Astyanax mexicanus: one gene and its partners. The protein of the gene in region 3 purifies or fractionates together with the protein of the main gene of each other region. This does not show direct contact. Links are inferred from orthologs where the notes say so. Each region holds a gene or a part of one and is shown on either strand. Other genes may lie near its edges. The genes, in order: nolc1, gnl3 and nop56.

Evidence for each region.
Region 1: the proteins of nop56 (region 3) and nolc1 purify together in Homo sapiens (affinity purification with mass spectrometry; 6 studies listed by BioGRID and IntAct, with this or other methods). This does not show direct contact. The link is inferred for Astyanax mexicanus from reciprocal best matches to the Homo sapiens genes NOP56 and NOLC1.
Region 2: the proteins of nop56 (region 3) and gnl3 purify together in Homo sapiens (affinity purification with mass spectrometry; 4 studies listed by BioGRID and IntAct, with this or other methods). This does not show direct contact. The link is inferred for Astyanax mexicanus from reciprocal best matches to the Homo sapiens genes NOP56 and GNL3.

The regions. Positions count from the first base shown.
Region 1 is NC_064414.1:4,018,828-4,022,581, forward strand, and holds the start of nolc1 (nucleolar and coiled-body phosphoprotein 1), read right to left. Parts: upstream 2,486-3,754; 5' UTR 2,439-2,485; coding exon 2,328-2,438; intron 779-2,327; coding exon 723-778; intron 609-722; coding exon 457-608; intron 1-456. UniProt on the Homo sapiens protein: Nucleolar protein that acts as a regulator of RNA polymerase I by connecting RNA polymerase I with enzymes responsible for ribosomal processing and modification.
Region 2 is NC_064431.1:25,174,812-25,178,565, reverse strand, and holds the start of gnl3 (guanine nucleotide-binding protein-like 3), read left to right. Parts: upstream 1-1,521; 5' UTR 1,522-1,613; coding exon 1,614-1,626; intron 1,627-2,273; coding exon 2,274-2,332; intron 2,333-3,171; coding exon 3,172-3,312; intron 3,313-3,403; coding exon 3,404-3,523; intron 3,524-3,605; coding exon 3,606-3,695; intron 3,696-3,754. UniProt on the Homo sapiens protein: May be required to maintain the proliferative capacity of stem cells. Stabilizes MDM2 by preventing its ubiquitination, and hence proteasomal degradation.
Region 3 is NC_064424.1:42,804,276-42,808,029, forward strand, and holds the start of nop56 (nucleolar protein 56), read left to right. Parts: upstream 1-874; 5' UTR 875-972; coding exon 973-975; intron 976-3,027; coding exon 3,028-3,117; intron 3,118-3,227; coding exon 3,228-3,342; intron 3,343-3,544; coding exon 3,545-3,709; intron 3,710-3,754. UniProt on the Homo sapiens protein: Involved in the early to middle stages of 60S ribosomal subunit biogenesis. Required for the biogenesis of box C/D snoRNAs such U3, U8 and U14 snoRNAs. Part of the small subunit (SSU) processome, first precursor of the small eukaryotic ribosomal subunit.

The DNA of each region.
Region 1 (3,754 bases), on a different chromosome or scaffold from region 3:
GCACATTTTAACTAATTTTTTCGTTGTATTAATCTTATCTTCTTTTGATCTTAATTTTGTATCACTTAAACCAAGCTTTATAATAAATTATTATTAATTTATTTTTATTCTAACTATTTTTATTTTATTTTTTTATCTATTTTTATATTTTACATTACATTACATTATATTTGGCAGACGCTTTTGTCCAAAGCGACTTACAATAGTCAAGTCCAAAAGTAATAGAAGTTAAAGGTAAAACATCTTTAGATAGGGCTTAAAGGTGGTCGAAGGGAAATAATGGGATAGAGAAGATTTACTGTAATTTTAAATAATTAAATGTAGCTATTATTTTCTTTGTCATGTCAATCCCCATTTCTGTAGATGCTCAGCTACAATGAAAATGAGGGTTGCTCTCAATGTACTTCTGAATCAAAATAAAGATTGATTGATTGATTGATTACAGCAATAGGTTACCTGGAGGAGTTTTCTTTGCAGCTGGGGCTTCCTCCTCATCACTGCTCGACTCTTCACTACTGGAGCTCTCCCTTTTGGTCTTCTTCGCAGACGGCCCGTTGACTGCAGCAGGTCCATTAGTAACGGCCTTACGCTTTTTGGACTCTCCAGATCTAAACGTACACACACAGACGTGTGTTACAATTACGAACCTCCAACATCGCAAAATTAAAAGTGCTTTGCCCACAAAGTAACTTTAACAGGGTTAGTAATAAACATTCACTTACTTGACCCAGAACTGGAAGACGTCAAGGAGTCCTTCTTCATTTTCGTCTTGAGGTTTCTGAATTGAGACAATCTTTATTACTTATGTATAATTACACCAAACTACTACCTTACTAATAGCTCCAAATTCACATGAATTACCTTTTGTACATATTGCCTGTTACAATAATTAACAATAACAATTTCCCAGGAATTACAGTGCTTAACTAGCAGTCATTTTCAACACTGCTGTAAAGATAACATAATAGCATAAAATACACATACCTTTAAAAGAGCAATAAGCTTTTAATAATTAAGAATATCCAGGCAATTCAATTGAAATACCTTTCAAATATTCTAAATAACTAAAATACATTTGTAAACAGTCAACATGCTTGCTCATCCACATTTACTATGTAATTCCATATGTGTCCCTTAATTGATTTCTAGTCTTTAATATTCATCTACAAATGTAGAAAATCATAAATAAATAAAAAACACTGAATGAGAAGGTGTGTCAAAACTATCCACTGGTGCTGTTGTACATCATTTATCAAGTGGTTATTATTACAGTAAGTAATCAGTGGATGTAACGGACTAATGGTATGAAGGTACAGATAGAATGTCAGAAAACTAAGCTAACAATCCCGACAGTAAGTGTGTATGTGCTTACAGAAAAAAAAACATGTATTTAATTTGTTGTAATTATCCTCCTCTTCCTGTATTAAATGTAGTTATGATCCAGAACCTGCTTTCCTCTCAGCTATTAAAATGACTTTTAAATGAACCGGTTCCAGCAGGATCAGTCTGAACAAACAAGTTCTCAATCTACTAGTTAAGATCATGGAAACAGTGGCTAAAAAAAACAGTGGGTGAACTGGTGTGTGTGATGACTGGAGGAGAAAACAGTGGGTGAACTGGTGTGTTTGATGACTGGAGGAGAAACGTGGACTTTACCACGTGCTCACAGATCTCTAGCTAGTTTATCTTCTCTACATAAAACTGTAATTCTTACTTTAATTGCACTAAATTCAGTCTGAATTTACTCTAAATAGTACAGCCTGCTTTTTCATGTTTAAACAAAATAAAGTTTAAAAATAAGTATTTAGATACATAGTTTTAACCCTGTATGGCACAGTGATTCCCTCAGCAAAGAACACTAGTTTTTGGTTAGGTTATTACACCGTACTTTCAGTAGTATGTATTTTAATATCTAGTTATAATATGACGGGATATAAAATAAGTGGTAATAAATAAGTTGAGTATTATTATTACAGTAACGCTGCTCTGCCCGGTTCTTCAGTAACGTTACCGCTGTGAGTCCTGATCAGGATTAGCACAGATATAACGTTACTTATACCGGTTATAATCGGTCACCCTTTGGTTCTGTGTTCGGAGCACCGCGAGCAGTAACCCGGGCAGTAGTTACCGTAGGCAGTAACCAGGGCAGTACCGCGGACAGTAACCTGCGCAGTAAGTAACTTTGGCTTGTAACCCGTGCAATAATCGGCTCGCGCTGCCCCTCGCGCGCCGTACTGAACACGTGTTTACAGCGCGCGCGCAGCCGGACTCCCCGTCTCGCAGAAACGTACCGCGCGCCACAACGGGACCGGTTACCGGGCACTCACCACTTTAGTCTTCTTCATAAACTCCTGGGCCGCCTTGCTGAACTTGTTCTGGAGCAGAAAAGAGTAAACATACGGGAATAGATCACTCGGAACCACGCCGACCTCCGCCATCTTCTCTATACCACACCGACTGCGCGCACAGGAAATGACGAAGAAACACGGCATCCACACGTTTTACGCCTAAACGAAGGCACGTCCGAAACAGACGCCGCCTTTTGAAGCTGGCATGTCAGCCGGCCGCCATATTGGAGGAGTCTCCCATGCGCCCTAGAGCATGTATACCATATAAACATAATACAGGTTATTTCAGCATAAACGTATATAACGTATTCTTAATGTGTAACAGCTTCCTATAGCATAGCTACATCTCTGCTCTGCTGTTTAAAACAAACCAAACCCTGTAAAAATCGGGTACACTTTGATAGAGTTGTGATTATTATAGGTGTTTTAAATACCTTCCTCCGTACTAATAAATGAACTAGGGGCGAGTGGTTGACTCCTCCAATATGGCGGCCGGCTGATACGCCAGGAGGCCGGCTATGCGGCGTTTATGTATGCATGTCTATTTTCAGTATACATGTCTATGACTAGTGCTCTACTCACTGCACAATACACACCTAGTGCCCCACACACTACACACCTAGTGCCCTACACAGTGCACACTACACACCTAGTGCCCTACACAATGAGCACTACATCTCTGGTGCCCGACACGCTGCATACTACACACCTAGTGCCCTACACAGTGCACACTACACACCTAGTGCCCTACACAATGAGCACTACACCTCTGGTGCCCGACACGCTGCACACTACACATCTAGTGCCCTACATGCTGCACACTACACACGGCACACTACACACCTGGTGCCCTAAACGAAAGGTGTCCAAAGTATTCAAAGTAACACAAGTGCACTAGGCTAACGAGCCAAGCTTTTATCATCACAGAGAACCTGCTCCAGCCCTGCCTAGACCAGCTGCTGTGTCTGTTAGCATTACGACTCTAACCCTGTAGGCTGTGGCTCATCTGCACTAAATTATCTGTACGTGGCTGTTCAGTCTGTTAGCATTGGGGCTCCCACCTGGCTAGAGATTTAATGTTAACATTACAGGAAATTGCTTCAATCTCGCCTGGTTTATAGCATCACGGCTAACCTGGTCCACCACTGTCAAACCCAGCTTTTGGCATTGTGGTTAACCTGGTCTAACTCGGCCAGGGCCAGCTGTTAGCATCATGACTAACCTGCTCCAACCTTGCTGAGCCAAGCTGCTGTGTTTGTTAGCAATATAACATGACTGTAATTACCTCAGGAATATTGGACTGTATAACAGATTATGCTTTACAAAGAATGGAAAACAAATGTTTTTAAGAGTAACAAGATCAAGAGGAGAGAGAGAAATTGGAGGGGTAAATGAAGGGAAATGCA
Region 2 (3,754 bases), on a different chromosome or scaffold from region 3:
CTAAAATTTGGTTGGACCGCCTTCAGCTTTGATTGCGGCACACATTCACTGTGGTATTGTTTTGATAAGCTTCTGCAACGTCCCAAAATTATTTCAATCCAGTACTTTTTCACCAAGATCTTGCAGCAGCATTGACGATGGTAGAGTCTGACTGCTGCACAAATTCTTCTCCATCCAGCACAGCCCAAAGATTCTTAATGAGGTTAAGATCTGGACTCTGTGGTGAACTCTCTCAATCCATGTGTGAAAATGATGATCTCATGCTCCCTGAACCTGAAACTCTTTCACAATTCCAGCCTCGTGAATTGCTGGCATTGTTATCTCTGAATATGCCTGTGCCATCAGGGAAGAAAAAATCAATTGATGGAATAACCTGGTCTATATTCAGGTAGTCAGCTGACCTCATTCTTTCAGCACATACTGTTGCTAAACCTAAACCTGACCAAGTGCAGCAACCTCATTTGCTGATCATTTGCTCAGTTAAATCTAGGTGGCCAGTCAGTGTATAAAAACACTTCTTTAAGCCCAAATTGACTTCCACATGGTAACATTTGCTAATAATATTTTTATTGCTTGACTTATTATATTATCAGTTAGCGGTTATGTACAGTAGATGGGATAATGCCTTTATTTTATGTATTTCCATAATTTTACTTTTTTCTTCTTCAGTATAAAAAAGGTTTATACTGTAAAAATTAATTAATTAAAAGCAGCCTGGAACCAAGGTTTAACTCAATATACAGTATTTTAATTAAAATATCACCACCGTTTTTTAAACCAAGCACCACCTGAATCATCTACTCTTTTATATTGGTCCCAGCAGACGTCCAGTCAACAACCAGTCAGTCCAGTGGTTTCTGGTTTATGGGGAGCAGTGTCACAACAGATTTCACAACAAATCATGAAAAAACAGGTGGGAAATAATAATATTTAGCTATAAACATGTGTTTATAACATAGACACTGTATTGTTTGATTTGGGTTCACTAGCTTAATATAATACCCTGCACTCTATTGTTCCACAGTGTGGAATAAATCAAAGCTCAGGAATCTGTTTTTATATAAAAAAAAATGTAGATTAATTTCAACACTTAATGCACAACTCCTTATTTAAGATGAGAGGAATATCTCACAGCCCGGGCTGCGTGGAGTGTTATAGTCCAGGGCAGGATTATTACAGTGCTGGTGTGAATGGATGGATGACAGCAGCTTCAGCAGCAGCAGCTTCAGCAGCGGCTCCGCTCCACAAACACAAAGGCGCGCCGGCCGGAGCCTGTAGCTAGCTGTAGCCGGGATGCTCGCCTCCTCTCCCGGCGCCGTCCTGCTGCCTCGCCCGCTGAGCTGATAAACTATCTACCAGCACCGCTGGAGGAAAACGGCGCTTGGCGGGTGAGCCTTACCTCAGCGTTGAGTCCGGGCCTGTGTGTGGTGTTTGCGGGCGGTTGGAGGCATTTGGAATAATAAGCAGAGTGAATTTATTAGATGGAGAGAAAAAATTAACCATTTCGGTTCAGACGGCGGAAACGGAAACCGTGCGCGCGCTCGCTGCACGCGCTGCTCCATTGGTTTCAGTGCACGTGTGCGAACAGCAGCAGCAGCCGCCGAGAGAGAGCCATGAAGCGACCGAGTGAGTCACGATAACCGCTTTAAAAACGCGTTTATTAACAATTACAGCGGGAAATAGAGATATAGTTAACTCTTTATCATATGGTTTAGGCCAGTTAAACTTGAAATATGTACGTAGTTAGTTGTGTGCGCTAGCTTTACTTAACTTATAGCCACGTTAGCTTAGCATAGACGCTATATTTTTACAACACGCTGTCTCAACGTGAGGCAGCGTGTTGTAAAAAATATAGCGTTACTAACAAGCTAACTAAGCTATATTTTCCTCATTTTTTTTAAACATATATCTGTAGTTAGGTAATAGCTAGTTAAGGTATTAAGTTAGCTAAATGTGTTGGTAGGTTAGTTGTTATAATTAGAACTGTTAACCGAATAGTTTAGTTAAGCTAGCTGGCTAGCTTGCCGACGTTGTTGAGTCAGCGTGTTGTGAAAATTATAACTAGGTTAACTAACTAATCGTTCTTTAATTTGAATTTTTAATTTATTAATTGGGTATTTAGCTAAATGTGTAGGTTAGCTGTTATGGAACTTAGTTAATAGGTTAGTTAGCTGGCTAGCCGACGTTGTGGAGTCAGCGTGTTGTGAAAATTAAAGGGTTAAATAACGTTAGTTAGCTAACTTAATTTTTCTTTTTTCTTTTCTGTCTTTTAGAGTTAAAGAAGGGAAGCAAGCGCGTATCCTGCGCTAAACGCTTCAAAATTCAGAAAAAGGTAAGAAATCTTACGCTTAACCTGCGTAGTTTAAATATGCTTGCTGTTTAGCTACTTGCTGTGTTGCTAGTTAACTAGGTTAACTAGTTAAAACATAAAAGATCAATAACCTAGTTAACATATAGTTTATTTACTGCTGTTGTAACACAAACAGTTTTGAGTGGATATAGCTCAATACTGTACATTCTAAACTGGTCCATATTGTCAGTTTGGTCACAAAGTTGCAGCTGTGATCAAACTGTGTGACACACATGGTCACTGAATCAGACAGTAACGTTAGTTGACTGTCTTCACTTACTGGCACAAAAAAAAATATGACAAAACATTACATTACAAGGGATACTCAAGTGGTCCAGCAGTCTAAAGTCTAGCCACTGTGATTGGGAGATCATGGTTGGTTTAAATTCTGGTCATGTAGCTTGCCATCAGCTGCCGGAGCCCTGAGAGAGCACAATGGGCCTAGCTCCCTCTGGGTGGGTAGATGGCACTCTCCCTCATCAATCCTAGGGTATGTCGATAAGCACAAGGCATCTGTGAGCTGATGTTCATATTGTTATCAGAGTATAGTGTATCGACCAATTTAAAAAAAAAAAAAAAAACAGTGAATTCTGATAAAAATTTTGCCCATAATCTATATACATCTATATACATAAAACAAAAATGTTTAGTGCTGCATTTAAACTGTATACAAATAATTAAATATAAATACTGTTAATAGCAATACAAATGCTAATTACACAGCTTTCAAAGTGTTTTTTGTATATTTATATAAATATGTAATTTTTTGATATACTATTGCGCACAATCATTAACATTTATCTTTGTTTTACCCATTCCAGGTTCGGGAACACCACAAAAAATTACGGAAGGAGGCGAAGAAAAGTGGAATCAAGAGAAAGCTCAAGAAGGACATTGAAGTACCAAACAGTGCTCCATTTAAGGAAGAGGTCCTTAGAGAAGCAGAGCAGAGGAAACAGGAGGTCCTACGAAATTACATGCTAAGTCCGTCTGCTTTGTTTTATGGGTTAAAAATTTGCAGAGCTAAGTAATTCTGTTATATCTGTTCCACAGCTTGAAGAGCTGAAGGAAAAGAACAGACTAGCCAAGCAGAAGGAGCGAGCAGAGAAGAGAAAGGCGGCCAAAGATGGCGTCAGTGGTGCTGAGGAGCCAAAGTCAAAGAGAGTTAAAAAGGTGAATTGCATGTGAGGTTGAAACAATGGAAAAAAAGAAAATGTATTTCTGTATTTGCCTCTAAAGATGTCGTTGCTTTTAGGAGGAGAAGGTAAAGGCTCAGAGGCAAGCTAGGGCAGCTGTCGCCAAGGAGAAAAGCAACAAGGTGTTCAGATGCAAGGAGCTGAATAAGGTAAAACACTTCTGTAAGACAATCTGATAACCATTAGGGATGCAACTATTAGTTGATTG
Region 3 (3,754 bases):
GATATATTCCCAGCAGAGGGCGCACCGGTGCAGTTTAACGCGGAACAACTGACAAAAATATATAATAAATATATATAATAAATATATAGAAATTAAATTTCATTAAATGATCTATATGTCAAAATGTGAAATATAAAAATATATATATAATTTAAAAAATAATAAAATAAAAACATATTTTAAATGTATATTAAATTAAATATAAATAATAACAATAATTATCAGGCATTTAATAAATAATTCATCATTATATTAATAAATAATGTGTGTAAAAATGGCTGAAAACATACGTCCAACAAAAAGAAAAAAAATAATCTATATATTTTTTGTACTCTGCCTAGACTCGAAAAAATGTAGTATTTTTTACATTTTGAAATAAAAATTAAATAAAAAGCTTTTGTTTGTTAAGTGCTGTTAAAAGCAATGCATGTATAAATTCAAGATATATAAAAATCATATGTGCAAACTAATAGTATTGTATTATTATATTTACGCTTGTTTATATTAATATTGTTTATCGGAATTACTGATATTATTATTATTTTTGTTGTGATTGTTATAAATGAGCAAAATGCTCATTTTTAATGTATATTTTTATTAATAAATACTACAATTTAAACATGAGGTAGGCCAAGTAGATTGGAAAATGAATATTGAATGGTTTTGATATAATATATATATTTCCTCACATGTAAATAATACACAGTACTCAGGGTTTATAATTTAAAAATTATCCTAATAAATGTTATTCTAGCTAAATATCCATGCAATTTAATGCTATAATATCAGAGGAAGTTCTAACTTTATTGTTTTTATAAGAGAAACACCGCGAGATCTGTTGTACCAGCACGGATCTGAAATCTCGCGAGAGTGGTAACATAAAGCTCCACATGGCCTCCCCTCGGCAGCACATGCAGCCTCTTCTTTCTGCAGCAGCTTCAGTAGAGGGAGGCACGCGGAAATCAGAGCAGGATGGTAGCTACCACTTTTAAACACTTTATTTACCTGGAAATACTATTTAATACTCGTTTATTAGCGCATTATTCTAAAAGTTAAAGCTTTAATTACGCTGGTTGTGATAATAACTTTTGGCATTTTCTGATAAATAAGCTTAAAATCGACTAGAATTTGGGGCATATTTGTGTAACTTAGCTGAATTTGTATGAGTTTGGCATTACCTTAAATTGTGAATTAGTGAATTATGCTTATTTTTAAACATTTTATGAAAATTATAAAGTGAGCTTGGGGTCTAATTTAAGCCAGAATGTCTAAAAATAGCTGTTGAAATGTTTGTTAGCTAATAATCACGTTGCGTAGCTGCTGCTGCTGCTGTTAGGCCCTGGCCTAGTTTTCCTATGGCGTTTTTCCCTTTAACGCAGCGCAGCATAAAACATTCTTGCAATATACGTTATTTATTTTATTTAAAGCTATATTTTTCTTTTATTTTATATGAATCCGTTTTATTAAATGTATAATTTGAGTGGATATGGTCTGCAGGAGGAACACGTGGGGCACTCGCCTTCAACATGTGTTCAAAACCAGTTAGCGTTAGCTAGGTTAAGCTACATAGCTAGCGTTAGCGTTTGGAAGAAACTGAACATTTTATTTGGTTATAGCCAAGTTTCTCCATTAAAAAGACTCCCATGTGAGCTTTATCTGCTCTAATGTATCCTCCGTGTTCATTAACGTTTATTAAATAAGTTATAAGTAATATTTTTACTGTTTCTAGAGGTCAGGGCTGCAGGAGCGGTTCACGCGCAAACCACGTGTCTGCATTTCTGCAGCGTTTTTGAGCGACTTCAGCTAAACTAAACTAGCTAACAGTTAGTTACAGGCATTTAAATAGATAAAGCTATGCTTTAGCCATCACTCTAAAAACATGTTAATATTACTGTAATCTTTTTCTTTTATTTTCTAGAATGTGTGTTAATATCTTAATATAACCGTAAAATTAAGTTTTGAGTCCTGTGAACCTAAACGCGGGCTAGCTAAATATTACTTCTATGTTTTAGGATTTTAATATTTAATTTTTTAAAGAAAAAAATAATGTTTAAGATCTTAAATAACCCTTTTTAAAATAAGCTATTGGTCCCTGTGAGCCTAAGTTTACTTTTTTAACATTTAATTTAAAATCTTTTTTTGAGCATAAGTTTTATGATAAATCTTTAAAAAAAATAAATAAATAAATTGGCCCCTGTGAGCTTAAACGTTGACTAGTTTAAGTGGAAGTACCTGAACTAAAAAATAATCTATATCATTATTTACCTTGAGAAATAACTTAGATTGTTAGTTTTGCTGTAGTTTAACTGCTTTTATTGTACGTTTAATAACATGGGACCCTATTAGTGTAACAAGGGCTCTGTGATATTAGCAAACATTTTAATCTCATATCCCTATAATTCTGCACAGTGTAAAAAAAAAAAAGTTTTTTATAAAATAACCGTGTTAAAAAGCCACGTGTATTACACTCAACAACTAATTATTGTTTTATTGCGAAATCTTTTACTCAACATTTTTTAAACACAGTAAAATTGTTAAAACGCGGCTTTAAATGAAGCCGGAAGATAATTCAGAGACCCCTAAATCGAAAGCCTCAAATACCAAATTTGGTACAAACCCGTTTTAAATCATTTTGCCTAATTAGGAGTTATTTTAATCTAGAGCTTACATACATCAATGTTTTATCATATTGTGTGTTATTGTATCAACAGTAAGCATATTCAGGATATCAGTATCAGTCAATCTTTTATTTTTTGCTTAGTCGATGACTGACACTACTGATGCATTTTTGGCTGCCTGTTAAAATGAAATTCTGTATATTTTAAATATTTAAAATTGATATCTTTAACGTTTCGCTTAGCTGACAAGTCTGTAGTTTTAAGTGTGTTCTTAAGGTACTAAAGTGGGAATAATTATAATAATAATAAAAAACAAATTTAGAATTCATACAATATGGTAGTGATGGGTAATTTCAGAGATTTTATAGCTGGACAAATTTTTTAAATTCACTTATTTATTCCCCTCCAGGTGCTCTTACACGTGCTGTTTGAGCATGCGTCAGGCTATGCCCTGTTCGCCGTCAAAGAAGTTGAAGAGATCGGCATGCTTTTACCTCAGGTGCGTTTTTATTTTATTAAATCTTCAGGACATTTTCTTAGTGTCTTTTTGTGCTGAGCTAATTTTATGTGCAGCATCTGATTAGATTTTTTTGCTCTTTTTGTATTCAGGTGGAGGAAAGTGTTTTGAATATTGGGAAATTCAACACTGTTGTAAAACTGGCAGCTTTTTTCCCCTTTAAATCTGCACAGGCTGCACTTGAGAACATAAATGCCATTTCAGAAGGTAAGTAAAACCAGGCTTTGAGCTCTGATAGTGTAGCTCAGATAGTGATGTGATTATAGTCTGTCAATCCACTGAATGATTGTGCTGACAACATAAAATACCTAACTGAATCTGAGTGAAAACTGAAACTACATGTTAATAAAACTTCTTAAAGACACAAGTGAATGATCAATAACTGATAAGTGGTTGAATCTCTTGTTAGGAGTCGTCCATGCAGACCTTAAACTGTTTTTGGAAACAAACCTGCCTTCTGGAGGCAAGAAGAAGGCTATGCTTGGTGTGGCCGATGGCAAGATTGGAGCAGCACTGCAAGAAGAGTTGGGCCTGTCCATTCAGACTGGAGGAGTGGTGGCAGAAATTATCAGAGGTTTGAGGAAGTTTTGATCTTTAGTAGTAGCTGGGTTTCCATTCA